Diceros bicornis minor: one gene and its partners. The protein of the gene in region 1 interacts with the protein of each later gene in a pairwise test. Links are inferred from orthologs where the notes say so. Each region holds a gene or a part of one and is shown in the gene's direction. Other genes may lie near its edges. The genes, in order: CBY2, PLEKHN1, C20H19orf44 and DZIP1L.

Region 1 (7,277 bases):
CATGTAACAAATTACACAGATTTTGCCTATAAATCTTTTTCCCCTGGGCTTTCGACCAGCCTCCCAGGTCTGCTCTCTGGAGCTACATACAACAAATTTCTTCCGCAGCGGGCTGCAAATGTTTAAAGGTAGCTTTTAAGTTCTTTACCTGTTTTTTCTCTTCTTTTTGGTGCTAAACTTAAGTTTATTTTTTGAACCTGATACAGGTATTTATATGGATCAGTATTAAATTTCATCTTGCTAGCTTTGTCTCACCCTTCCAGGCTGCTCAAATGTTTGTGAATCCGATTCTATCATTCAGTGTGTTAACCAGACCTTTTAAATGTGCTACTGAGAATGATAAGCTTCCAAGTCTTCCTTCCTATCCCATTTTCCTTTCTTCTTTTCCTCTTTCTTCTGCAGACATCCATGGAGGACTTTCTATGTAACAGACACTGTCAGGCACTGGGGCTGCAAGATCACGTAAGGCACACCTACAGACCTCAAGAAAGCATCTTGCTTAAGCAGGGAGACAGAAAAACGAATTAAAATATGGTATAGTGTGATTACGTCATGAAAGAAAGAGGAAGATTTTAACATGAGTTGGAAGAGCATTATCTGTAAGGGGAGAAAATAGGAAGCTAGGAGGATGCCACCCTCTGGCTTCTGGGGTGTGGGGCCCATGAGAGAAATGGGCAGTCTCCATGTAGATAAATGCTAGCCAGAGGGGTCCCAGGGCTGGGGTGGGGGACAGGCTTTAGCCACCATAAGGAAATGGAAAGAAAATTCTGTGTAGAGGATGAGGGTAAGGGGAGCTTATTTACGGAGGGGGCTAGGCTATTACTGTCTGGTGGTACAGCCTTTTCTCCTATCTCCTACCTGCCCGACCAGTGGGGCCCCCAACCCCCACCTGACCTCCCTAAAGAATCAAGTTCAGCTGCCTTGGCTCATGGGTCTAAGTTTTGACACGGCAAACTGGAGAAGCACCGAGCATTCTAGATTTCAATTAGAGACCAGAGAGGGACAGAATGAGAAAGGAAGGGGGTCATTTACGACCTGAAAATGCCCAATTAGTCATTGGGAAGGCTGGTAAGACCAAGAGCAAAGGGATTTTTTGTTACGACTGCTCATGGGGTTCTTCCAAGCATAATCATGTGGTCATTTAGAGGCTGTCCTCAGTGTCCAGGCCGAATGGCTCATTTGCTCACATCACAGAGCCCAGGATGGTGCCTGGAGTCTGCAAATTTCCAGGAGTTAGGAATTTTGTAGGACAGAGAATAGGTGGCCTTGGTAGACCCATTATCCCATGTTGGACCCATGTCTTATTCAAAGAGGGATATCCCCAGGCCCTCCTAAGGAAAGAAACCTCCGCAGCCAAGAGGCTACAGAGTCCTGGGAATTAGTGGGTTCTGGGCCAGTGCCAGGTGCCACCTGGGAGCTGTCCCTGAATCTCTGCTCAGCGCTTCCTAGAATCCCTGAACCCCATAGAAAGCTGGTTGCACCGACTGATTTGGTTAGGGCTGAGGAGCTCCACTTGCTGTCAGGAGGGCAGAAAATTATAACCCGGGTGAGGAGTGCTGCTAGTGCTTATTTCCTTAGACAGTGCATCAGGGAACATGGTCAGGTGTAACTCCTGGGGCACTGAGTGCATGGCCATGGGCGGGTGCAAACCACACTCATATAGCTGAGCTCCAAAAGCGTGGCTTGAAGCTGTGACCCAACATAAAGCTGAAGTTTATCACAACTACTGGTGAAAATAGGCCTGGGGATCTTGGACGGATTTGGAGCTGAGAGGCAGGCTCAGGACTTGGGCTGTGCTGCCTGAGCATCCCTTTCTTCTAAAAGGCAAAGGCACCAGTCTAAAACGGCATGATGCCCGGCTCCACATTTTGGAGTTTGGGGGGATTAAATATGAAAAACTAAATAAACTCTGTTATTAAACCAGCACCTCCTATTTTTGGTGGGACAGGAAGAATGTAGGCTTATGCTTCTAGACTAAGAGACTTGGAGCTACACAACCCGGAAGTGAAGAGGCCAACTAAACCCCTAAGATCTAGGAGGAGACCAGCAGGTGCTGGGTTGAGGACTCCTGGCTGAGGACTGCGAAGGGTGAGGAATTTGCTACTGAGGCGCTACCTAACAGGACACATCAGCCCCGACTACAGCAGCAGAGATGGGAGGGCAAGGCTTCACCCTGTCTCAAGGTGCAAGAGAAGCCTCAAGCTTTGGTAGATAGTTGTATGTGTTCCTTCCAATAGCAGACTGGAGAGAAACTTGGTTCTAGCACAGGCGAGCTTATTTAAAACTCGACCTGTAGGGCTGACGTCTTTCCTATTAATCCTCGATGTGCCTAGAAGGAGGCCCTGTTAACAGTGTTACATTATTTAACATTAAGCGTCAACTTAGAAAAAGGCAGGGGCTCTGGGCCAGTCATGGACTAGCTCTAGTCAGGTTGGGCATTTCCAGTTCCTCAGAGCTGGGGCCGAGGGCTCTGTCTGCTGAGCAGTCCTCCTGGCCCTTTTTCCGTCTTCTCTCGGTTTTCTACTCCAAGATATTCACAGTCCTGCTTTATTTTCTGGAGAATGCAGTATACATTTCCAGCAATTCTTCCAGAGGGAGATTTCTTTTTGGGGTCCCAGCCTCACTCTCAAATTTTCTTATTTTAAAGCAAGCGTGTTCATTCTTTAAAACCCAACTCAAAGTCACCTCCTCTGTGAAGACGTGCACGCTCTTCTGGAAGGTCTATCCTCTTTTTCCCACAGCTCTCTCATGCCCTTCTCTTACTGCACTGTTCACATTTGTTTGCATGCCTGCCTCACCCATGAGACGGCAGCCTCACACAACGCCTGGCATGTGCAGGATTTCCACAGAAGTTTGTGGACTGAATGGATGATCCATGGGAAGAAAGGGCACATAGGAGACTGACCTCACATCAAGTTTTCGGTCTGGACTTTTCAGGCCCCCATCCATCTAACTTTCTCTCCTGCTGTGGAGGGACAACCAAGAGATGAGTTGTGAGTGGGCTCAGAAGGCAAAGTTGAAGCTGATGAAGAGAATGGGGTGAGCCATAGCGCCTTTGGGTGTAGCTCAGTTGCTGCCAGTAGATGCTTGGAAACCGTGGCTGGAGCAAGGGGAGAAGTCTCATTTCTGTAAAGGATCCAGGGTGTTCTAGAGGGCTCTGCAAACGCGAGGTCGTCTTGTGGCCGTATGGTCCTCAGTAGCTGTTTATAACCTCTCTAACTAACTGGCAGGCTTCTTGGCTGAAGGCAGCTGCCTTCCCTCTTGGGGGAACAACTGATGGCCTACTTGGGCAAGTTCCATGGCGCCATGCCCACGCTGATCCAGATCCACATTAAAAAACGCCAGGGGGCAACACTGAAGCCAAAAAGTTCTGTTGACCTCCCTTAGACCAGTCAGTGCAGTTTTTAGCAGTTTGGACACCCCAGTGCACTCATTAAAACACAATTCCCTAAGGCCTTTTTTATAAATGGAATTTCAAATGTATTCAGATTTGAACTTTCAAGGAGGGTGACCTTGAGCAGCCACTCAGCACAGAACATCTGTGGAGGACCAGCCACTGGCCCCTCCTCACCTTCTCCCTGGAAGTTTAGGACCACTGCTTCTCTCTCATTTTAAGGTCGGGGGGGACAGGGGTGGGTGGGATGACAGGGGAAACTGATTTGCTTTGGCTCACAGGAACTGGTTGTGCACAGGGATGGAATTTTGGATGCGGTGAATTGTTTTTCCTGCCTAGTTGACTGGACTATGCAGGCTGAAAAGGAAGAAATTACACCGTCCACACCCATAATGTTTCCTTAAACTCAGGGCCAGGGTTCTAAGGACCCAGTCCTCCTTTATTTGCAGAAGTGTCAGGGCCCAACACCGCCCTTCACAAAGCGTAGAAGCGCGGTCACAGCAGGGAACAGGAGGGCCAAAGGAGGGAGGGGCAGAGAATGCGGAGAGAGACAAAGAATTCCGAGGTGACGCTTCTTTGTTCCCCAGACTCTGGACGCAGCTCCCCCTCCCTCCTGCCTGGCGGGGGCCGGAGGAGGAGGAGCGGGTCTCCCGGAGCACGGGCGGCTAAGGTCGGCAGCCCTTACCCGCGCCGACGGCGGCGCAGCTCCAGCGCCGTCTCCCAGGCTGCACTCGTGTGTTTCAGCTCTCAGTTGCCATGGGAACGGCGCCCCTCTCCCTCCCCCGCGCCCTTCTAAGGCGTACCGGGGTTCCAAGCCTCTGGACCTGCCCCCGGCTTCCCTTTCCCAGCCCCCGTCGTCGCGGCGGAAATGCTGGGCCAAGCGTGCGTGGCTGGCCGGAAAGTTTTCATTATTTGCGTCATGGCCACGTGCATCAGGTGTTCCCCCGAATGGGGACGGTGGACGGCAGACCGCTAGTACTGGGTGTCGGCTGGCGCCGGCCATGCTGCTAATCCACACCGTGCTCCGGGGCAGAGGAGGCGCGGCAAAGACTGGTGGAGTTTTATTTGATTTTATTATTTATTTAATGGTATGTAAATTTTATAGCTTTATTTTTCTGTTTCCAGAATCATGCCGCGTCAGCTTTCCCCAATCCCGGGCCCCAGCGCGAGCTTGTGAGGGGTTGCTGAGATGGAGACAGGGCCTGCGACTCCCTAGAGCTGAGACTCTCTAACTCGGTCAGGTTGTGGGCTGCAGGGTGTGCTGGCCGGGAGAAGGGCGGGTATTCCCCTGAGGCACCCTGAGTGGACTCACTTGGGCTGGTTCCCAGGACAAAGACCCCTAAGCAGCCTGGAGGACTGTCGGGGGGCGGGGGCAAGGAGCTGCCCTGAGGGGACAGTCCACGTGCAGAGGCTTGATCTGGGGTCAAGGGTTGGAGGAAGCCGATGAAGTTCACATGCCGTGGCCACTCTGAGTGGACTTGTTGAGGGTTGCAGAGTGGCCCAGGTCGGGTGAGGCGGCTGGGTTGCAATCCATTTCTGTGTAAGCATTTCTGCTCAGTTGTCAGAGTTCAGAAGAAAAGGACTTGGATCTTTGAGGTGCCAGTGATTTGCTGTGATTTCTTCTCACATTCTAAATAGCTTATTCACTTTTGCACCTAAATTTGTATTTGTAATATTTTATTCTTTTTCTCGAAGAGAGTCCAAATTGTATAAGCTCCAGGTCTCCACAAAACCTGAAGAGTCGTGAGTACCCTATGCACACCAGCAGTGTGTGTTACTGGGCTTCTTCATATTGTCTCTCCGTGGCCTGTGCCAGGCTCTTGGGAAGGGGGTGGGAATGACAGAAAAGGGGACTCCAGTGGGAGAGGCATGTGACGCAGAGAACCTCTGTGGTTCTTGGTGGTTCCACCTCTGCTTGGTGGTCCTGTAGGAGATGAGCAAATGGAAGGTGACCAGATAACTATTTCTGCCTCTCTCCCTTCCTACTCCAACGTGGAGAAAGTTGGAGGAAAACAGAAGAGAGGCCAAGTCCATATGAGTATCACAGGGCGACAGTAGGAGCCTCAATGAGTTGGGGAGGGGTGTAGCAGAAGCAGAAAGACAGAGGATGCTACCTGGTGTCCGAAGAGCTCTTGGGATTGTTGGTTCCCAAGGATTTCTTGAAGCACAAAGGAAGAATTTGAGGCTAGGTTGTTACAACCATTTTTGCTGGGACTGGTCAAAGACTACTTCTGGGATCTACACACCTCTCAATTATACTCAGGGACACTGCCAAGGGCTGGCTTGGGGGGACTTTTGTAGCCCCCATCATCTCCAGCAACCTCACCTGAATCTAACTAAAAAGTGTACTTGGTTTGCAAACACAGCTTCAAGATAAGTTTCTTAGCCTGCTGTTCCCCACAGTCCCTGGCCGGTAAGGCTCTGTCACACAAATTTCAGTGTCCATTCTTCAGCCTGGTGACAGGCATCTTGGATGGTGTCATGGTAAGGCCTTCCACAAGATGGTGCTCATAGGTTTTGTTTTTATTATTTCTTGCTGTTGATTGATTCATCCCTTTGTCAGTATTTTATTGAATGCCTATTATGTGCTAGCATTGTTCTAGGAGGTTCTGGGGATATAGATTGAAGAAGACAAAGTCCCTTGTTTCAAAGAATTTAACAAGGCTGTGATTTTTACACTTTCAGAGGCAAAACTCAACTGTGATGTAAGTTTCCCTATTTATGTTGCTGATAGATACTTTTGATAGTTGTGCTACATTTCTGACAGTTGCACACTTTTTTTCCCTCTGGACTGGGATGGCCTGGAGGAACTATAGACACATTTATTATTTGCATGGGGAAAGGATTAACTTATATCTGTCTGTAGAAGCCACTCTCTGAGATCCACCCTTTTGTCAGGAAAACACAACATCTTAACTTGAATAATTCCAAATTGTTGCTAAGCATCAGCTTATCATTTTGAAGTCGCAGCTTGGGATTCATCTGCCCATTTGAGTGAATTCACAGCTCTTTTTAAAGAAAAATTCTAGTAGGTCTTTCAGGTATCCCAGTGACCCGCCTTCAAGTGAGAATGAGATGGGCCTTGATCTTGGTGAGAATTTATCAGTCTCTTTTTTTGCTTTTCATAGCAAAATGTCAACCTTGCCACCTAACCTTCTACCCCAGAGAATAAGCACATTCAAAGAGCTCACTCTTGCCAAAGGCAAATCTGAAATCACAGTTGAGAGAGAGAGACAGAGGTCTGTGTGAGCTGATCCAGATTCCTCCAGCTTTGGTAAGCTCCATCCTTGTTCTAAGTTAGATTCCTGAGGGCAACATCTTTTAGGACCTTTGCTACACCAACTTGGCTGCTTCCAGAAGTACCTTCACTTAGCTATGATTGAAGAGTACGCCCTTGATTTTTATTGCCGATTGATATAAAAATGGTCATAAAACAAATGTTTCTGTACTTTTGGCAAAAATAATGGTTGAAGCCCTTGTTCACTTTACCATTCCACGTCCTTTCTGTAAGCATTCACAAGAAACCCAGACCACCTGCTTGACTTGACATTTCTGCTAGGGTATCCCTAGGCGTATTCTGTTTAACATGGCCAACATCAAACTCCTGATCTTCTCCCACGATCTGCTCCTCCCTCAGTCTTGGTCGTTTCAGTAAACTCCACTGCTCAGCCAAGCATCTCAGAACCATCTGGACTGCTCTCTTTCTCTCTCACCTCGCATGTAACCTGTTCTCAGATCCTGTTGCCTCTGCCTTTAACACACATCCAGAATCTGGTCATTTCTCACCACCTTCTCTTGTCTGGAGACTTTGACAGGCTTCTTAATTGATCTCTCTACTTATGTGCTTTGTTCCCCTACAACTATGCTCAACACAGCATCCAGA
Region 2 (6,878 bases), on another chromosome or scaffold:
TGGCCAAGACTGAGGAATTCATGCTGCTGCCGCTGAAACAGGTAATGCCAGCTAGAGTATAGCCTGGACCCTGACCCAGCCCTTGACCCCCAGCCCCCTTCCCCTGGGCTCTTAAGACTTGGCCCTTTGCTCCTCGGTTCTTATTCCCAGCCTCTGACCCATGTTCCAGCCCTACCATCCATTCTCTGGGCTCCTCCGCCCTTGCCCCATCTTTTGACTCCACCCAAGCCTTCACCTTTGATTCCTGACCCCATTCTGTTCTGAGTACACCTCTGCCTACCGTCCTCAGTTTCTCGTTCCACATGCCCAGGGCTACTCTGGACTAAATCCCTAGGAACCAGATCTGTGGCTCCTAACCCTGCTTGGTCCCTCCTCATAGGAACAGTGGGCCCCTCGTTGGACTCTCCCTCCCAGGCACCTTTAGGGCTCCATGGGCCCCCAAGGTCCTCCCCAAATCTCAGGTCTCAGGGTCCCCACCCGCAGGTGCTGGAACTGGTCTCTAGCGACAGCCTGAACGTGCCTTCAGAAGAGGACGTCTACCGTGCCGTCCTGAGCTGGGTCAAGCATGACGTGGACGCTCGGCGGCAGCATGTCCCTCGGGTGAGGCCAGGCCCTGGGTGGTCCCATGGTGTCCAGGAGGGGATGCAGTGGCCAAGGGCCTAGGTGTGTCTGGGCTCCTCTGTCCAGAGACTCCACTGGGTGGTATAGGCATGTGCCTAAAGAAAGGTTCAGGGTGTCTGAGGGTGGTCTCGGTGCCGGGGCCAAGTGTGCCCACACGTCCCACCTGCCACCTGACTGTGGCACCCCTACCCCAGCTGATGAAGTGTGTGCGCCTGCCCCTGCTGAGCCGGGACTTCCTGCTGGGCCACGTGGACGCCGAGAGCCTGGTGAGGCACCACCCTGACTGCAAGGACCTGCTCATCGAGGCCCTCAAGTTCCACCTGCTGCCCGAGCAGAGGGGCGTGCTGGGCACTAGCCGCACACGGCCCCGGCGCTGTGAGGGTGCTGGCCCCGTGCTCTTCGCTGTGGGTATGCCCACTTCTCCCGTCCCCTCCTGTCCAGCCCCCACGTCTCTGCCCTGCGTCTTCTCTCCGTGAGCCTAGCACAAGCTCCTCCACCCTGTGCTGGTCACGTCCTGCACCCACCCCACTCCTGCTCCTCTGTTCCTCCACGGAGGACCCTGTGTAGTGTGACCTACTCCCTAGTCCCTGTCCCCAACCGCTCTTGGAGTCCCCACACCTTCGACCTCGAGCTGTGCCAGAGCCCCCAGCCCATTGCCTCCCTGGGTCCGTTCTCCTGCCCTTCACCTTCTCTTGTCTAGGTGGTGGGAGCCTATTCGCCATCCACGGGGACTGTGAAGCATATGACACACGCAGTGACCGCTGGCACGTAGTGGCCTCCATGTCCACACGCCGGGCCCGAGTGGGCGTCGCAGCCGTCGGGAACCGGCTGTACGCTGTGGGCGGGTAAGTGTGGAGGACGCTCTCAGGGCAGGGGCTCGGCATATGCTCTCCAGGCCACTCCTGACCGGCAGCGGACCTCTCTCCTAGTTACGACGGGACTTCAGACCTGGCCACCGTAGAGTCGTACGACCCTGTCACCAACACTTGGCAGCCAGAGGTGTCCATGGGCACGAGGCGCAGCTGCCTGGGCGTGGCTGCCCTGCACGGGCTCCTGTATGCAGCTGGTGGCTACGATGGGGCCTCTTGCCTCAACAGGTAGTGGCTGGGGTCAGGGTTGGGTGGCCTTTTGGGGTTGGCTCCGCAGTAGGTACGGCTCCATCAGGACTGCAGAGGTCACGCTTGAGGGGAGCAAAGGGGGATTCCCCCTGACTGGAGTCACCAGGGTCCCCAGGCCTCCTCATATGTGCCAGCCCAGCTGCCCCGTTTTCCTCTCTGGGGTCCTTCCCACCAGTCCAGGGCTGGGCCCAGGTGGACAGTGCCTACCCAGCAGGCCCTGCTTCCTGTTCCAGGGAGACTCAGGTCAGTCTCCATGACTACCCAGCACAGGATTCTAGTCCTGCCATGGGGAGGACAGGTCCAGGGGCCAGGACAACCTTTCTGCCACTGCTCAAGGTCAGCGGCGGTCCTGATGCCCACAGTGCCGAGCGCTATGACCCCCTGATGGGAGCATGGACGTCTGTTGCCGCCATGAGTACCCGGAGACGATACGTGCGCGTGGCCATGCTCGGTGGGTGACAGGGCCTGCTTCATGTAGTGCCCACCCTTCCTGCCACCTGAGACCCTGTGCCAACAGGTGCACCATGGGTTTGTTGACTCTCTGCAGATGGGAACCTGTACGCCGTGGGTGGTTACGACAGCTCCTCACACCTGGCCACCGTGGAGAAGTATGAACCCCAGGTGCGAAATATGCCCCTGTCACGGTTATTCCCCAGAGCTGTTTGAGGTCATCACTTTGGCCACCCACGTCCCCTGAGGGTCAGCCTTTTACATCCCACCCCCAAGCACTCTGCCCTGGAGTAGGGGTCTGCACCATGGAGGTGGAGGGAGGTTGTGATGGGGCTGCCCCCATCCCATCCCGTCGACTGCAGGTGAACGCATGGACGCCCGTGGCCTCCATGCTGAGCCGGCGCAGTTCTGCGGGTGTGGCAGTGCTGGAGGGGGCCCTCTACGTGGCCGGTGGCAATGATGGCACCAGCTGCCTCAACTCGGTGGAGAGATACAGCCCCAAGGCCGGTGCCTGGGAGAGTGTGGCGCCCATGAACATCCGAAGGTGCACCAGCCCCACCTCGCTGGCCAGTCGTGTCCCCCTCGTGGTGTTCCCCTCCACACACTGACATACGTGCCCCACAGCCTCACCACTGTGGGGTGTGTCCACCCCTCCATCCCCTGCCCCCTGCCCACTACTCCCGGGCTCCCCCAGCTCCATGCCCCAACCCAACTCCAGAGATTCCTCCCATGGCCTGGGGGCCCCGCCCTGCCACTCAAGCCCACCACCCCCCTGCCCCCAGGAGCACGCACGACCTGGTGGCCATGGACGGCTGGCTGTACGCCGTGGGGGGCAACGACGGCAGCTCCAGTCTCAACTCCATTGAGAAGTACAACCCGAGGACCAACAAGTGGGTGGCCGCGTCCTGCATGTTCACGCGGCGCAGCAGCGTGGGCGTGGCGGTGCTTGAGCTGCTCAACTTCCCGCCACCCTCCTCGCCCACGCTGTCCGTGTCGTCCACCAGCCTCTGACCCGTGGCGCGGCCTGCACAGAGGCCAGCCCACAGCCTTCCACATGCCTTAAGCCCCCCGGGGCAGTCCCCCCGGGGGCGTCCTGCGCCGTCTGTCGCGTCTCTGCGTCAAGGCCACCGTTTGTGTTCATTCCTCAGAGTTAGTTTCTGTGTGTGCAGTTTATTTATTTACTCATTTATTTATTCATTATTTATTGACCGACGAGCAGCGCTGCAGCTGCCAGTTTATATGTTTATTCAAAGTGTCCTGTGTCTCTGGGACCAAGCTGCCCTCCAGGGTGTCCTCCCACCCCAACGGGGGCACAGGGAGCGATGTGGGTGGACATTTGGGCCAACTCCGACTCTGCAGGCCTGGAGGGACCAAGGAGCAGATGCAGAGCAGCCAGGGTTGGTGGGGGGCTTTCTGAGCGGAGGCAGACCCCCCAGCCTGCACTTTGCATACCGCCCTTTCCTTGCCCAGCCAGGCACGCTCCCGGGGAGGGCACAAATTGGGCTTCCGTCCTGTGAGGGTGGTGTCTTTTCTGGATTCTGCACTGAGCTGGGCACACATGTGCCCCAGACTACACAGAGCAATATGAGCTGACTTGAACAATAAACATGTGTTTTGGGCTCTTTGGGCCTGAGGCTGAGTGTCCATCTCCGCCTTTCAGGGTGCTGTCTTTGTTGATCGGGAGGGCCCCGGGGTGGGTCTGCAGCTGGGCTGAGGCGCTGCATTGGCATCTGGGGGTTTTGAGGCAGCACCGTGATGTCCAGGTGGGGCAGGGCTGGTGATGTCCTGGATGAGCGCCCACCGTGAGCATGAGCCTGGTCCTGAGAGGCTCCTGTGTCCCCTGGCTCACCTCAGGCTCTGGGGAGGGTGGCGTGCATGGCATTCTTCCCATTTCACCGTGACAGCCTGGGTGTACCTGGGAGGGTTGTGGTCTCCTTCCTGATTCTGGGTAAGCCTCGGGGACCCTGACGTTGGCTCAGGGTGAGGATTGGGCCGGGGCGGGAAAGGAGCCTGGGAGAGGGTTCTGGCCCCTTCCCTGATGTTGCAAACTCCCGCTTCTGAGGCTGAGAGCAAGGACACACCCCCTTACAGTCACTGCTGACTCAGAGACGGCATTTAGGTGGAAACAGGATGTGCGCTCACGCAGGTGAGGCCTGGAAGGTGGTCCCTGGACTCAGGGAGCTCCAGCCCCAGGCACCCCCAGGCCGAGTGCAGGCAGGCCACGCACTCCCAGGCTAGGTGTTCAAGGCCCTTCCCGTACAGACTGGCAGCTGAGTTGGGGGCTCTTGACTGGGCTGAGAGGCAGGCTGGACTGCACGTGTGAAAGACTCAGGAGAGCACTGAACGGCTCTGCTCAGGTAGGGGCCAGGTTCCTCCCAGAAAGTCTCCACCCTTCCCCAGGTCTTGGATACAGGGCGAGATTTCCCGGAGCCCCGCCCCAGGAGGTGGGGGCAGGAGGCTTAGGACAGAGGAACCCAGACGTCGACCTGCTGTGCTCGGGGCAGCAGTCACCGCCACCCATGGGAAACAGCCACTGCGTCCCTCAGGCGCCTCGGAGGCTCCGGGCCTCCCTCTCCAGAAAGCCCTCGCTGAAGGGAAATAGGTGAGGGGGGCAGGAGCACGGCCTCGGCCTCTGGGTCACAGGGTCGCCCTCAACCTGCCTTGGGGGCCAGGCTGTGAGCCCCCCTCCCTTATCCCCAGAGAGGATGGTGCGAGGAAGCTGGCTGGTCTGTTTGGCACCGAGGCGGGTCCCGACGGGGACACCACTGCCGACAAGATCTTCTACTACATCCCTGGGACGGTGAGCGGGCGGGTGGGCGTGTCCCAGCTGGAGCGAGGCCTCGAGGGGGTGCGGTGGGGGTCATCGGTATGTGACTGCGTGTGCGTGTCCTATCTTGCCTTGGCTCAGGGTCTTCCCCTGGCAGCCCAGGGGGAGTCAAACCCAGAACAAGGTGAGGAAGTAGACACTGCCCCACCCTGGGGAGCTCATCTGGCCGAAAGTCTGAGCAGAGAGTGAAACTGAGACCCGACACTGAGTCAGTGGGGTGAGCGAGCACTGGGCAGGAGCGGGCCGCGGGCGGGGCCTCCAGGAGCCTCTGCTGCACCAGAGGGGGCGCCATGGCCAGGCCATGCATTCAGAGCCATCTCTGTGGGGCCCCAGCCCTGGTGTCTGCCCACCCCCCAGGAACAGGCACGTTCAAGTTGGACCAAGCTCACGTACTTCAGTGTTGCTGCGTGGGCACCCGTGTCGTGCTGGCAGTGTAGCTGTGAACCTTCACCCCCCGTTGTCACTCTGAGGGTGAGGGGCTTCACGTGAACAGTGAGCCAGCCTCTCACCTACTCCAGGCCTCAGTTTCTGCCAGGGAGTGTCTTCTCCACATCCATCATGCCTCATCTCACAGCACCCCCGTCTCCCCTTGCCAAGGCCACGTGGCAAGGACGTGGCTCCGAGCCCATGCTAGGCCACCTCTGAGCTGAATACCACCCCACCCACCCTGCCCCCACTCCTGTGGGGCTAAGGGTTAGCTGAGGGGGAGAGACAACCAGCCCTTTCCCCAACATGGCTGCACTGGGTTGAGGTGAGGCTCTGCTATGTGCGGAGACACCAGGATGTGAGCAAAATGATCTCGCAGCTTCTTACCCCAGGAGCATCAGGGAGAGGACAGGGAAGGAGGGACGGCTGTGACTCTGTGCCAGGAGCTCCAGCCCTGCACTCCTCGGTCCTCACACCATCCCCTCGAGGCCTAGCAGCTAGTGTGGGCTTCAGAGCCCACCTTCCCAATGTGTTGCTGTCAGGCTGGGAAGGGCTGGCGGGCCTGTCCCTTCTCCTGGCCTCTGAGGTCCCAGGGCTCCCTGTGAGCAAACGCTGTCTTCAGAAACCGTGCTGCCTCAGAGACGTGGACAGGGCACTTCCGTCCAGGGCCTGGCCTGGCCGGGATGAGGTCCTTCATGTGTCTGCATCCCAGACCTCAAGTCCCTCTGTCCAGGCCCAGGACACATCATGTGACCCTGGTGGAGTTCCATGAGGCATGGTGGTCCTGGTGGTCCTCTCTTGCCAGGACATGGTGGCTGGAGAGGGGACCAGGCATGTTGAACTTTGAGAGGGAGGGGTCAGGGGAGGAGCCAGTTTTCATTGGGACCTGCCCTGTGGTGGGTTCTGCCCCCACACATGAGCCGGCCCTGCCTCAGCTGTGAGCGGGCTCCTCCCTGGACCCTAAGGCTGGGTCTGGGCCACAGGGCCAGCTGCATGGCCTGTCCTGCTCCGTGGCCTATTTTTCGTGGTCCCATCCCAGCGTCATTACCGGCTCTGGGTGTGGGTACCGGAGGCCCCACCCAGAGGCAGGGAGGCCGGGACGCTGTGTGTCTGTCTGTTCACATTCCTGGGCTTGCCCAAGGGGCGGCTCAGCTTGGCCAGGGCACAGCAGCCTGAGAGGCAGCCCCTGCCAGCTCCCACAGGGAGGGTGGCCCCCTCCCCAACTCAGCCCTGAGACCCTAGCCCTCAGGTCCTCAGCCCCAGGTCAGCACCTGTCTCTCTCCGACTCCAATCTGATGACCAAGCCCCTCTGTATAAAGGGTTCTCTGTGCCAGGGCTGGCCAGGTGTTTGTGAGCGCTGATCCTCCCTCCCTTCAGCAGATATCCCAGGCCTGTCCTAGGCTCTGGGGATACAGCGGTGGGCGAAACAGACAAAG
Region 3 (7,134 bases), on another chromosome or scaffold:
GTCACTTCAACTGGGGGTGGGGGGTGCTTACAACAATGGCTGCCTCTTTGGCTCTACCTTTGTGATATGAGTCAGTAATCAGCACTCAGATGCCCAATATTTGGTGGACAGGGTCCTTTTTGCCTACCCTGGCTCCCAGAAGCTGTGTGTAAGCTGCTCCAGGAACATGTGCACAGCTGTCGGCCATATGGCTGGGGGTGGAGGATGGGTAGGTGCTACTGTGCTAAGAGCTGAAATTGACCAAAATTAACCCTCCTAGTCTTCTCCTGGAAGCTGCGATCCTTCCACAGACTCCAGAGTTCCAAAACAGTTATATTAGGCAGATTCTGCCAGTGCAGTTGATGTCCAGGTGGGGAGACAGGTTCCTGGTGCTTCCTCCTCTGCCATCTTCCCAGAATCCTCTTCATTATTAAGCTTTTTGAACGCACACACTTCAGGTATGTGTAGTTCCTATGGCCCAGTGTGGTCCCTTCCCAATTCCAGCACAAATTTTTATCAATTACCTCTGGTGTCAGAAGACACTTAATATGTTCTCAGGGTCAGGAAGCTTTTTCTGTAAGGGGCCAGGCAGTAAATATTTTTGGCTTTGTGGGCCATGTGGTCTCTGTTACAACTACTCAACTCCGCCCTTGCTGCTTGAAAGCAGCCATGGACAAGATATAAATGAACAAAGCTAGGCTGCATTCCAATACGACTTCATTTGTGGACACTAAAATTTGAGTTTCATGTAATTTTCATGTGTCACAAAATATCGTTATTTTGATTTTTTTCAATCATTCAAAAATGTTAAAGCCCATTCTCAACTCCGGGGCCTCAACAAACACAGGCCATAGACTGATCCAGCCCACGGCTAAGGGCTGTTAACTCCTGATATAGTCAAAATACTTGGGGCTACATCAATGTTGAATAAATAGCTTTTTCAAAAGCACAACAGAATGGTATAGTTGGCTTTTTATAGTATTAATTAGGTTTAACAGTGCTAAAAACCTTTAGTCAGATATACTCAATACCAATACTTTAGCAAAGTCTTAGTCTAAGGATCTTATGAGGTGGAAGGGTTTTCAAAGTCACCAGAAATGGTTGTGTTGTACTATCTAAACTTACCAAACATAATATAGTACTGGGATTTTCCATTCAGGTTCTTCTGATCTATGTCTGCAGGGAAGACCTTTATGTAGCCTCCTCCGCAGTCCATCTTCTGCTCGTGTTTCACTGTGTACTGAATGACCAGAGTCTTCCCTTTATTGCTAAAGGGTTTGAACCGTGCAGAGATGGCGTAGAATCGGCCATTTTGAGTGGTTTGCAGACCTTTAAACAAAAAGTACTCATGAAGGATTAGGAATGACACAGCGCTCAGTGACGCAGGCAATTAAATGGTTGTCCTTCTGCCACCCCCAGTAATTACTTCCTAACCATTAAGGACCATCCAGAGCCTACAGCACATTTGTACAATAATATGCAACAGGCATGATATACCACTGTTATGTCTTAAGTTACACAAACATTTTAGCTCTAAATGACAAATACGCAATCTAATTATGGATAAAAGATTAATTTTGCTTCCATTCATCTTCCGAGGGGTGGGTATGTACAAGGAAGCCTGTGTAACACCTGAATTAAAAAAGGGAGCATTCTACTTCTTTTCCTCAATTCTCGTCTTAAAACAGCTACTTCAGAGACACAACAGCAGACGGAGCACAGAGCACTGATCTGCAAGACAGTGCTTCACGGCACTGGCTGAGCTGGCCCAGAGACTCATCTGTGTGACGGCTCTTTTTACGAAGATACCATCCTTTTATCATGCAAATCAGATTATATTTGTTTTACAAGTTTAGGCATTCACTTCAAGACCAAAACCCCCTTTCTCAGTAGCCACTAGGCTCTGTACCAAATCCTTATCTTATCCTGGAGTCTGCCAAACCTGAAAACAGAGCCATTCTTATCATAACCTACCCTTCCTTGCTCCACACTCTGGCCCCCATAGCTGCCTGTGGTGAGAGCCGTAAAAACGAACTTGGCCTTTTGTGTCAATATGTCCAAGCCTGACCTCATGGCTGACTCCCCACTACCACACCTCTCCTTCTGCTTCCTCCATCCTTCTCCCACCTTTCCCTTTCTCAGGGAATTTGTAGCCCCTCCCCTTCCCCTTCCTCCTATCCTCCAGGCAATTCCTAAAGCCACACTGCCTCCCTTTGTGTCCCGCTACCCTCCTCAGCCAACCACATCATCTCTCACCACCTCCATCTCTGCCTGACTAAACTCTATCTTCCCGTCCACGACTTCTGTGTCATGGCCCGGGAGACCATGATGCAAGGGGCCAAATTAACCAGTGTCCCCAAGGCCTTGCCTGTGTGTGCTATCAGGAGACGCATGCTGGGCTGAATGAACGCACAGAACCTCAGGATTCCAGATTGGAGGGAGGAAAAACACTGTGGTAAATACCCAAATGACTCTAAGTGGAAACCCCTGTCCATGGACAAGCTTCATGGAACAACCTGTGTATTTTCACTCCATTTTTCTCATATAGCCTGAATTTTGACCAACTTTGTGGGCCAACATGTAACTTACAAAACAACGTATATACAATAGAAAACCAGAGGCTGCCACACAGGGTAACAATGGAGTCACAGGGCCAAGATGGGGGTTGAGTGGAAGGTGGTAAAGAAGGAAATTTTTCATCCAAATCAGGGGCCAGTAAACTTCCTCTGCAAGGCCAGAGAGTAAATATTTTAGACTCTGTGGGCCATTTCGTCCGTCTCAACTACTTGATTCTGCCTTTACAGCATGAAAGCAGCCAACAGACTATATGTAATGAATGGGCATGGCTGTGCTTCACTAAACTTTATCCATGGACACAGAAACATATTTCATTGAATTTTATATAATTTTTACATGTCACAAAATACTATCTCCCTTTCGATCTTTTTCTCAACTATTAAAAATGTAATAACTATTCTCAGCTCCCTGGCTGTACAAAAACACACAGTAGACGAGCTGTAGTTTGTCCCCCTTTTATCACCAAATAGATGTTATCCTTGGGGCCAGGAGGCTACTGATTTGGGGGAGGGGGGCACCAGGTAGGCCTATACCTGGACTGAAAATGTCCCCTATCTCGACCCGGGTGTACAGTTGTAAACATTCATCCTGCTGTACCCTGAAGATCTGTGCATGTGACAGCATGTAACTTTTACCTCAATTTTTTTTTCTTTTTAACGTGAAAATAAGAATGAGAAGTATCTTCTAATCTTTTTCCCTCCGCAGGAAAAAGTTCCCTTGGGCCCTGAACTCATTTGACTAGTGCTTATAAAGCGGGTGATCTTGGGCTCATAAAGACAGGAGAGAGAAAAAAAATAACTCAAGACCCTACCTGTGCCTTTGTTTCCTTACCTGGGAAATGGGTGTAAGAGGGGTTAAGGGTGTGCCACATCTACCTTGCAAGGTTGCCATGGGGGGTTAACATTTAGCTCGATTTTCTCACGAATCCTACACTAACCTTTGTCTTTCTCTTTATGACCATAAAACTTCCCCGACGAGAGTCTAAAATGCCCAAATTGGGAGTCATTGGCGGACTGCACCCATCGGTTCCTCCAGCGCTCTGTGGGGGAAACAACACCGGTTAGGGCGGACACTGTTACTTGGGGTCATGGGGAGGGTGAGGGGCCTCGAGGCGTCGAAGATTCGCCACCACCGACCCCGCGGCGAAACGCTGGCGCCAATGGCGACTTAGGCCGTCCGCCGGACAGCTCGGTATGGGCTACCACGGGCGTTTCACCTCCGTCTAGAAACTCCTCCTGGAAGTAGACGGTGGCCACCGTCATTCGTAGTACGCAGACTGCCCAGAGCGGAACGCGAGCCGCGACCATGGCGACTGCACGGCGCTTCTTCTTATACCCGCCCCTTTGCTCCCGGTCTCAGTGGCGCTCCAGGCCTGTCCCGGAACTACAACTCCCGTCACGCCTCCCGATTATGACCTGAGGCACCATTGGTCCCCGGCGCGCAGTGCGCGCCGGGGCCGCCCCGGAACTACCACTCCCATGATGCCCCGCCCATGTGACTCGGGGCACTATTGGTCCTCGGGGCGCGGGGCGCGCCGGGAAATGTAGTCTTTTCCGCCTTAGCGCGGTTGCTGGAGGCAATGGTCCTCTCCTGGCCGGGTGCCGGACCGAGAGCGGCGGCAGCCTCCGCGGATGGACAGAGTGGGAGGAGGTTGGCGGGGTTGGCTGGGTGGCGGTCAGGTTTCGCGCTCGGGCTTGGGAGAGGAGTTGTGGGGAAACGGGGCGCGCTCGGCAGCTGGGCTGGGAGGGCGACGGGAGGGCGGCCACGCGCCTCACGCCTCAGTTTCCCCCTCTGGAGCCCACTCGGGAGCGTGGTCCGATGTGGGTCGCTCCAGGCCTGAGGGAAGAGCCCAACGGTCTGAGGGGCGCCAGTGCTTTCAAAGTTTGGTTATTTATTTTTAACAACTTTATTGAGTATTCATTTACATATCATACGATTCACCACTCGTTTTAAGTGTACAACTACGTTATTTTTAGTAAATTTATCAAGTGGTGCAACCATCACTACGATCCAGCTTTAAGATTTTTCCGTCAACCGAAGGAGATCCCTCTTGCCCCTTTGCAGTCCATCCCCCTCCCACCTCCAGCCCCAGGCAACCACGGATGTGCTTTCTGAGTCTAGATTTGCCTTTTCTGGACAATTATTATGAGTGGAATCGTCCGGTGTGTGTTTTTTGCATCTGGTTATTTTCGCTTAGTAGGATGTGTTTGAGATGGATGCATGTTGTGTGTGTGTGTGTCGGTGTTGTTCTCATCCATTCATTAGTTAATAAACATTTGGGTGGTTTCTACTTTTTGTCTTTTATGAATAATGACTTATGAACATTTGCATACATTTCAGTTATCTTGGGCTATGTGGGAGTGGAATTTCTGGATCACATGGTAACTATGTTTAACCTTTTGAGGAACTGCCAGACTGTTTTCCAAATCAGCAGCTGCACCATTTTACAACCCCCCAACAGTGTGTAAGCGTTCCAGTTTCTTCACGTGTTTGCCAGTGCTTGTTCTTATCTGTCTTTTTGATTATCGCCATCCTAGTGGTGTGAAGTGGGATCTCATGGTGGTTTTGGTTTGCATTTTCCTGATGGCTAGTGATGTTGAACATCTTTTCATGTGCTTATTGGCCATTTGTGTGTGTGTGTATATATATATATATATATTTTTTATTATTATTATTTTTTCCCCCCAAAGCCCCAGTAGATAGTTGTATGTCATAGTTGCACATCCTTCTAGTTGCTGTATGTGGGACGCGGCCTCAGCATGGCCGGAGAAGCGGTGCGTCGGTGCGCGCCCGGGATCCGAACCTGGGCCGCCTGCAGCGGAGCACGCGCACTTAACCACCAAGCCACGGGGCCGGCCCATGTATATATTTTTTTTGAGTGTGAAATACCTGTTCAGGTTTTTTGCCTATTGGTTTAGTTTTAGTTGTGTGTTTCTTAAACATATCTCTTTTTGTTGTGGTAAAATGTACATAGCATGAAATTTGCCATTTTAACCATTTTTCCATTAGTTTATTTTTAAACCTAGGGAAACTTTCAGAAGAACTAGATGCCAGAAAACCTGGTCTGCTGGTCAGGCCTCCCCTCTGACCCCCAGAATGGCCGAGGCTGAGTCGTCCCCTGAACTTTGGCTATAAAAATATTAGCAAAGATACCTGTTGACCTGGTTCTGGCCATCTCTGCTTCCCCTTCACTGCGTCATTCCAGGTGAAAGTTAGCCTCTTATGCAGGTAGTCCAAATACTACCGTTACTACTGTCTAAATTTTGCTGAGCCATACTGAACATAGGAATCCTATGAGGGAAATAGTTATTATTCCCTTTTTACAGATCAGCAAGCTGAGGCCTAGAAGGGTTAAGTAACTTGCCCAGGGTCACACGGACTAGGAATTCTGCACTGCTGCTGTTGGGTGTGGTTCTCCATTCACTGAGCCCTGTGGTCAGGCCTGTGCTGGGCACTCTTAGTACACAGGGTGGTTCAGGTGGGGACGAGTGAGCAAGCACAGTAGTCAGAGAAACAGACAGGAAAATAATAAAAATCATTCATTCTTGTACAGAGTCTTAGGGGCTGGGTTAAATGCATTTCCTTGCACAAAACATTTGAGTTCAGCTTTGAAGGGTGTATTTAAGATATAGAGGGCCAGCCCTGGTGGCCTAGTGGTTAAGTTCGGTAAGTTCGGTGTGCCCCACTTCGGCGTGCTCTGTTCGCTTCCAGGTGCAGACCTACACCACTCGTCTGTTAGTGGCTGTGCTGTGGTCACAGCTCACATAAAAGGAAAAAAAAAGAGTAAGATTGGCAACGGATGTTAGCTCAGGGTGAATCTTCCTCAGCAAAAATAAAAACATATAGGGTTGCCAGATTTAATGAATAAAAATATGGGACACCCAGTTGAATTTTGGATAAAGAACAAATAATTTTTTAGTATAAAAATATTTGGAACATATTATTTTTTAGTATAAAAATATTTGGGTCATCCTTATATTTTTAAAATTATTTGCTGTTTATCTGAAATTCAAATAACTGGGTGTCCTGTATTTAATCTGGCAATCCCAATAAGATTGTTTTCCAAGTGGGCAGGGATGGGAAAAAAGGCTTTTTCAGGTCTCACAGTGAATTTTTTTTTTTTTTTTGTGAGGAAGATCAGCCCTGAGCTAACATCCGTGCCAATCCTCTTTTTTTTGCTGAGGAAGACCGGCTCTGAGCTAACATCTATTGCCAATCCTCCTCCTTTTTTTTCCCCAAAGCCCCAGTAGATAGTTGTATGTCATAGCTGCACATCCTTCTAGTTGCTGTATGTGGGGTGTGGCCTCAGCATGGCCGGAGAAGCGGTGCGTCGGTGCGCGCCCGGGATCCGAACCCTGGCCGCCAGCAGCGGAGCGTGCACACTTAACCGCTAAGCCACTGGGCTGCCCCGTTTTTTTTTTTTTTTTTTAATAAAAGTAACACACGGCGGTGCTAAAACATTCCAACAGTGTGGAGAGGGGGCGTGGTCTGCATCTTGTCCTTTCTTCCTCTTCTGTTGTTCAGCTGGCAACATTGTTATGCACGCACATCTCCCTGGCTCCTTTCAGATGGCCGCAT
Region 4 (7,059 bases), on another chromosome or scaffold:
GGCCTCAGCATGGCTGGCGGAGCGGTGCGTCAGTGCGCGCCCAGGATCCGAACCGGGCCACCAGTAGCGGAGCGTGTGCACTTAACCGCTAAGCCACGGGGCCAGCCCTGAATGTCACATTTCTTTCTGCTGGGCTGTGATTATATGAATTCAGTATTGATAATTTGATATTTATAGAAAGGTTTAACTGTCACTAAAATGTTTTTGGTTAATAAAATGTAGGAAATAAATTAATAATGTATTACTTAATAAATGTAGTTTGTTTAGTAGAAAAGAATATTTCAAAACATGGTGATGAGGGGTATTGGGCAAAGTAAGGAGTAGGGAGTGGTAGAAGTGTGAGCCTGGATTCCTTCTGGCCTTCTATGAGTCCATGCTGCATATTGATGTCATGATACATTTTGAAAATAAACCATGATGGTGTTTTCCCCATATTAATTTTTTTTCCAAATCCCACACTCATTCTTAGAGTTTCAAACGAGATTGTATGGAGCAAAAAAATGGTGTAGGGTGCTTCATTGTAGGATATATCATAAGCTATTTAATCAATACCCAATTGGTGGACATTTAAGTTGGTTCTAGTTTTAATAGTGCATGTAATTCTGTAGCAAAAGTCTCGATGACCACATTTTTGAGGACTTTAGATTTTGATATGTGTTGCCAAATTGTTTTCAAAAAAGCCTGTTTGAAATTGTGCATTTCCCATATTTCACCAATGCCAAAAATCTATTTAACTTTGACCAATATAATAGTTTTAAAAATGTATCTCATTGTCATGTTAATTTCACTGAAGGTTAGTGATTCACATGTTTATTTGGTAATATATATTTTCTTATTCTGTGAATTGCCTAATATCTTTTGTCCACTTTTCTATTGGGTTGTTTTTCTGTATCTTATTGATATGTAGCCACTTTTTGTGTATCAAAGACACAAACATTTTATTATTTTGTTGCAATTTTTCAGTGTGTCCTAGCCCACCAGGCCTTGAGTTTGTTCCCAGACTCAGAGAGCAGGTCCTGGTTAGGCTGACTCTGCATTTTCATTTTGCAGGGAAGGAGAGCTTTTTCCTGAGAAAGGTCTCTTCTGTAAGTGCACAGACTTCCTTCAAAGTGATTTTTCTCAAGGACTGGGCTAGAGTGTAGGCTCTGCCTAGGGAAAAGTTTCCCCCTCAGCTCCAGCCCATTTTTGACATGTGAGACCACAGGCCTTCTGTTGCCAGAGGCTCAGGTTTTTCAAAATAAACCAGCAAACCAGATTTTTATGTAAAACCCCCCTCTGACTATATGCCTGTCTGTCTATCTATGTATCAATGCTGTGAAAACCCAATAATACACCTTTGACCTAAAATCACCTCAAGGACCATTAGCAGCCAGCATCCCAGCGTTGGGGACCTGCCCCATACACCTCAGGTGCCCTTCAGGAAAGTGGGATCTGGAGCTGGTTTCCAAGGTGTGATGCCAGCAGTTGACAGCAGAGGGCACTCCTATTGTGGGCTGCCTAGAATCTAAGTCCACCATCAATCAGCACACTGGTCTCACTGTTTTCCTGACACATCCCTAAGTGTAGGAAGGAGACCAGCTGTGACGGTGTCTGTGCTGGGTCAGAGAGCGGGTGTCTGGCAGTGGCCTGAGGAAGGGGTGAGGGGCTACAGGGCAAGATGGAAACTGCGGATATTGGGAACCCACCCTCCTGCCCTCCCATCCAAAAGATATGGCCCAGCTGTTCTGGGTGAAAGGAATGTCCCCTAGACTAGCCATCTAGGGCCAGTCTGCTTTGGCCTGTTGCTGTGTCATGGACTATACACCTGTCCCCACTGGTGCCAAATCTCTGTTGTGGCAGAAGTGGCACAGCAGAGGGTGACAGCTTCCCATTGCTGAGTGATTTAGTCCTCCATAAACTCTTGGTATCCTCGGGCCCTAGAACAGAGCCCGGCACACAGTAGGCCCTCAGTAACCCTTGGCTGTGTTGAATGTTGAACTGTGGCCCAAAAACGGAAGGGTGTGAGGGCTCCATGCATGGGAGGTCTTGGTTGGCCAAAGATGGAGTCTTTAGCTTTTGGTGTTATCGACAAGGTGGACCTGGGTGCATGTCAAGTCCACTTTCTCACATCCACCCTGGAAAGAGGGTACCCCATTTACATATGGGGAAATTGAGGCGAGTGGAAATGACACAGACAAAAGCACACAGGTACCCTCAGAGCTACTTTCTGCACACTTAAGGACACAGTGGGAAGAGAGCTGAGAAGTATGTGCTCCAAGCCCCCACAGATTTCACACTTGACTGAACTTGGGAGGACGCACTGCTGACCGCTAAGCCCTGGGCTGAGCCTGCAGACGCTTGAGCTCATTTGTTTCTCATAATGACCCTGCTAGCTAGAGCTGATTTTTTCCATTTTATGGAGAGGTTAAGTGACTTTCCCAGAGTTATGTAGCTTGGGAGTGTGGAATGTAAGTACGTCTTTGAGTCCAGAGCCTGGACTCTTCTCTCCCCTCTAGTGAGCAGCAGGAACCCCTACACTGAAGAGGGTGCCCTGACCAGGAGAGGTGAGGAGGAGCAAGATTCCCCATCAGAGTAGATGGCTCACCAATATCCCTACTTTGTTCTGATCCCTGCCCAAGCCACTTTTATTTTAAATTTAAAAAATTATGGTAAAATATACATATCATAAAATTTACCATTTCAACTGTTTTCAAGTGTACAATCCAGTGGCATTAAATACATTCGCACTGTTGTACAACCAACACCACTATCCATCTCTAGAATTTTTTCACCATCCCAAACTGAAGCTCTGTGCCCATTAAACAACAACTTTCTATTCCCTAACCGTCCTGTCCTGTCCTGTCCCCCTGCTCCCTCCTGCCCCCAGTAACCACTATTCTACTTTCTGGAATATCTCTATGAATTTGACTATTGTAGGTGCCTCGTGTAAGAGGAAACATATAATATTTGTCCTTTTGCATCTGGCTTACTTCACTTAGCATAATATTTTCAAGGTTCATTCATGTTGTAGCAAGTATCAGAATTTCATTCCTTTTTTAAGGCTCAATAATATTTCATTGTATGTATGTACCACATTTTGTTCATCCATTCCTATGTTGGTGGACACTTAGGTTGGATTGTTTCCACCTTTTGGCTATTGTGAATAATGCTGTTATGAACATGTGTGTACAAATATCTGAGTCCCTGCTTTCAATTCTTTTGAGTATATACCCAGAAATGGAACTGCTGGATCATATGGTAATTCTATGTTTAAATTTTTGAGGAACAGCCTTTCTCTTTTCCACAGCAGCTGTACCATTTGTATTCCCACCAGCAATGTACATGGGTTCCAATTTCTCCACATCTTTACCAACACTTGTTCCCAGCCACTTTCGCTTTGGCTGCCCCAAGATACAGAGTTTGGCAGATTGAGGCTGGGGTTGGAGAAAGACTTAAAAAAATTCTCAGAAATCTGAGTCTAACTAAAGCAACGACTGGCTGTAGGAAGGGATCAGGGACTGATTATCAGGAAAGAATTCTTTGGTCCTGGGTTTCACAGCTGGATCCACAGGGCAAGCCTGAAGGTTGGGGGCTAGGGGGCTGGTTACCATCTGACCAGGCCTGGGACTCACTCAAAGGACTAGCGTCTGGCAGGATCAGAAACCCAAGAAGGTCCCTTTAGTTTAAGGCGGGTGGGCTGGGCTGTCTGCCCGGAAGGCTGCAGCTTCCCCCAGCTTTCAGCAGGCCAGCGGTTGAACCGGGGGCAGTGTGTGTGTGGTGTGTGTGTGTGTGTGTGTGTAGACAGAACCCCGTCCAGCCTCCCTGGGCTCCACGCGGCCCGCCTCTCAGCAAGGCCTAGGAGCCATTCACTTGGATCCGGGATTTTCCTAACGGATTAAACGTGGCATTCCCTCCTCCTCCCTCAATAACAGGCCTAAAAATAGCTCCTCCCAGGGGGCTGGGGAGAGGCTCCACCCTCCCTGGGGTGGGGTGGGGCTGCTGTCGTGGGAGCGGGAGGCGTCGGAGACCCCAGGCCCGGAGCTGCGGGCATCTCTCGCCCCGGCCCCCAGGTCGGCAGCGCCGGGTGGGCGGGCCGGCTGGGTCCCCCGCCCCCCACAGCGCCGGGGCCGCTCGAGGCTGAGGGCGCATCCCGGCCCGCGTGGCGGCGAGGATTCCGGGAAGGGCCGGGGCGCGGGAGCGAGCCGCCAGGCTGGGCCGGGCGAGAAGGGGAGCCGGCGCCTCGGGACCTCTGCCCGCTGCCCGGGCTCCGGGACCCCCAGGTGAGCCGGACCGCTGGGAAAACTATGTCAAGAATTCGGGCCGGGAGGGGCGCGGGTGGGGCGCGTCCGTGCAGTCCGATGGACCCGTTGATCCGTGCCAGGAGCCGCGGGAGGTTAAACATTAGCGGCTCCAGCCCGGGAGCTGCGGGCGCTGCGCCCCGGCTCGGCCTCCAGACGCGCCGCTTCCTGCGCCTCGGCTCGGCCCGCCACCCCCAGCTCCCTCGGCCTGCGCTGGACCGCGGTACCCCGGGAGGGGAGCAGCAATGACTGAACCCCCAGGACTGGGCCTCGCTGGCAAGACGGCCTTGGATTTCTACTTTTTGGAAAAAGTAAAATGATCTGGGGCGCTTGATGCTCTGATTCTGCAGATAAAGGGGATCTTTTAGTAATGAGATGATTTAAAAACACACACATCGTTATCCCTAGTTCCTTCTTGCACTCCTGGGCTGGAGTTGAGCAGGAGGCGGCGATGGTGTTTGCGTTTTGCGGTGGCTGCAGGTAGACGTCACGGGAGACCTGCTTTGTACAGGCCAGGAGGGGGTCTGGAGGGCCTGGGCAGGGGCTGCCGCTCACCCAGCACTCCTTGGGGCCGAGGCCTGCCTGCTGGGTGGGTGGTCATCCTCCTCAGTCTCAGTCCCTAACGCCTCCTCCTGGAGCTGAGGACTGGCCAGTGAGAACAACCCCACCTAGAGAAGGTGGGTCCTCCAGTCAAGTGGTTGATAAGTGGTCATTCATCTGTCTTGTCAGCACCAAGGGTCTGGAGACATCTCCCTCGTGTGGAAATATTTTTGGATACCGTCCAACATGATAAAATGGTCCCAGGATGTTATACGCTTCAGGTTGGAAACAGAAACCTGAATTCACTTGTGCAACATAACTGGGTTCTGCCACAGAGGTGGGATTGGGTGAAAAGACTTGTTGCTCAACTGAAACTGACAGGAGCAGAGAAGGGGACAGCTTGGTGGGCTGTTCTGGACCTCCTCGTGGGCCCCTTGCAGGAGAGCTGGTCCTGGTTGGCAGGGGTAACCACCTGCAGTGCCACCTGTCACGAGGCCTTGCACCTGTAGGGAGGGTTTTTGTGGGGGTCTGATGGCCCAGGCACTGCAGAGGGAGAAACTCTACCAAGAAGCAGTGACTCCTCCGTAGGAAAGAAAACACCAGTATATTCTAAGCTGGTTTTCTTTTAGATGTGAAAAGCAGTGTTGGTTTTTGACCATTATCACCTGGGAAGATAGGTCATATCAGTATGTAGTCTTCTCGAAAATACTTCTGAGCAATGTCAGTCAAATCCCCACTCCCAATTTTTTATTTTGAAGAAAATCCTTTTGTGGCAATAACTTAAAATAGGCTCCTGACAAAACCGTGAATGATTTCTTTTAAAAATATCTCCTTCAAGGTGCTGGGAATGGAGGCCAGCTGTAGGGGAGAGCTGTGTGCCTGGTGGCATGGATCTCTCTCTCGCTGCTTGATGGTTCTGGGAGTGGGTGCAGCCTGCATGGAACGCAAGAGTGGAAAGGGGGACTCCTTTCTTTGGAAAACAACAGAATCAGAGAAGAAACCTAAGGCGTGTAACGGTAGGGCTCCAGGAGAGGGCCCGGGTCACTCATCTCCGTTGGGGTCTCTAGTGTTCCCTTGCCTAGTGAGTGTGCACAGCCTGTTTGCAAACTATGTGAAGGTCTCCTTGGCAGCCACTACAATTAGCACTAATGACACGCCTGAGCTCCCTGGGCAGGCCCGGCTGCAGTTAGCTCAGAGCCAGGGCGGGCTGGTAAATGATTGCCTGGCAGCCACCTTGGAAGCTTGGCTCCTCCAAGTGCTCCTCTTGGCTGCATTCTTGAGGAAGCAGAAGAGACAGTAAGGTGGCAGCAGTGGTGGTGTAGTCTAGCTGTCAAGTTATATTAAATCAGTCAGAGTTTTATTAAAAAAATCAGCTGTTGGGTTGATTTCGTGGAAGTTATCTGACAGATTATAGGTGGGCAGGTTTCAGAAGAACCATAAAGTCTCCAGGAATTGTCTCACAGTGGATGGCTGCCTTGCGGGGTGGTGAATGCCCCATCACTGGGAGTGTGCAAGGCACGGGTGGTAGACGGGCTTTCTTTCTTGGCTGTGATTGCCCAGGGAGAAACCATCTCTTCAACAATGAAGTGAGTTTGGAATGCTGGCATAAATATCATTCTTTTGGTTCCCACTAATTTGTGACATTGCTCGAGGATTGGGAAGTTTCTGAGGACTCCATCAAAACATCTAGAGATGGTTAACACAGCTCCAGATTTCCTGACAGTGAGTCATTTCTGCCTTGTGTTTCTATTCCCAGATGTGGGAAAAGCAGTCTGCTGATAATTCGGTCTGGAGAAGCGCGGTGTTCCTGCCCCCTGGGGCGTGTGGTTTCCAGGTAATCTGCAGCACTTGCATTTGGCTTGTCTTCTGCCCATCCCAGCCGGGACCCACGCCGTGGAGGTGAGTGGTGTTTGGCTAAGCTCTGCTGAGATACAGGGGGAGTTAGGGACTCCAGCGCTGACCCTGTTGTGATTTGCTGAAAACTCTTTTAGTCCTTGAAGTTTGGTCAAGAAATCTCAGGTACTGTAATTTCCATAATGGGAAATAATTTACGTATCGTCATTGTCATCATTAGGAGGTGGTTTGGCATGATTCAAAAGCTTTGGAGTCTGACAGAACTTGATTGAATCTTGGCTTCGTTACTTAGTAGCTGAGTGACTTGGGGCAGGTCCCTTAGCTTTTCTGAGCCTCAGTTTCTACACTTGTCAGATGAGACAAATCATAGCTACATACAAGACTAGGA

The links.
Region 2: the proteins of CBY2 (region 1) and PLEKHN1 interact in binary tests that used the Homo sapiens proteins (3 or more experiments, as listed by UniProt). The two-hybrid records come from large-scale screens. The link is inferred for Diceros bicornis minor from reciprocal best matches to the Homo sapiens genes CBY2 and PLEKHN1.
Region 3: the proteins of CBY2 (region 1) and C20H19orf44 interact in binary tests that used the Homo sapiens proteins (3 or more experiments, as listed by UniProt). The two-hybrid records come from large-scale screens. The link is inferred for Diceros bicornis minor from reciprocal best matches to the Homo sapiens genes CBY2 and C19orf44.
Region 4: the proteins of CBY2 (region 1) and DZIP1L interact in binary tests that used the Homo sapiens proteins (3 or more experiments, as listed by UniProt). The two-hybrid records come from large-scale screens. The link is inferred for Diceros bicornis minor from reciprocal best matches to the Homo sapiens genes CBY2 and DZIP1L.

What each region holds. Positions count from the first base shown.
Region 1 is NC_080748.1:31,138,756-31,146,032, reverse strand, and holds the start of CBY2 (protein chibby homolog 2), read left to right. Parts: upstream 1-4,262; 5' UTR 4,263-4,395; coding exon 4,396-4,482; intron 4,483-7,277.
Region 2 is NC_080752.1:21,948,027-21,954,904, forward strand, and holds the start of PLEKHN1 (pleckstrin homology domain-containing family N member 1), read left to right. Parts: upstream 1-3,865; 5' UTR 3,866-4,708; coding exon 4,709-4,791; intron 4,792-4,889; coding exon 4,890-4,989; intron 4,990-6,878. Other genes in the region: KLHL17 (kelch-like protein 17), read left to right, coding at 1-41, 484-600, 816-1,029, 1,322-1,466, 1,551-1,718, 2,102-2,190, 2,287-2,360, 2,552-2,733 and 1 more. UniProt on the Homo sapiens protein: Controls the stability of the leptin mRNA harboring an AU-rich element (ARE) in its 3' UTR, in cooperation with the RNA stabilizer ELAVL1.
Region 3 is NC_080759.1:4,664,196-4,671,329, forward strand, and holds the start of C20H19orf44 (uncharacterized protein C19orf44 homolog), read left to right. Parts: upstream 1-4,124; 5' UTR 4,125-4,135; coding exon 4,136-4,206; intron 4,207-4,256; exon of another isoform or gene 4,257-5,020; intron 5,021-7,134. Other genes in the region: CALR3 (calreticulin-3), read right to left, coding at 1,105-1,308, 3,494-3,595, 3,773-3,863.
Region 4 is NC_080741.1:15,059,987-15,067,045, forward strand, and holds the start of DZIP1L (cilium assembly protein DZIP1L), read left to right. Parts: upstream 1-4,053; 5' UTR 4,054-4,259; intron 4,260-4,811; exon of another isoform or gene 4,812-5,833; intron 5,834-6,573; coding exon 6,574-6,651; exon of another isoform or gene 6,652-6,716; intron 6,717-7,059. UniProt on the Homo sapiens protein: Involved in primary cilium formation. Probably acts as a transition zone protein required for localization of PKD1/PC1 and PKD2/PC2 to the ciliary membrane.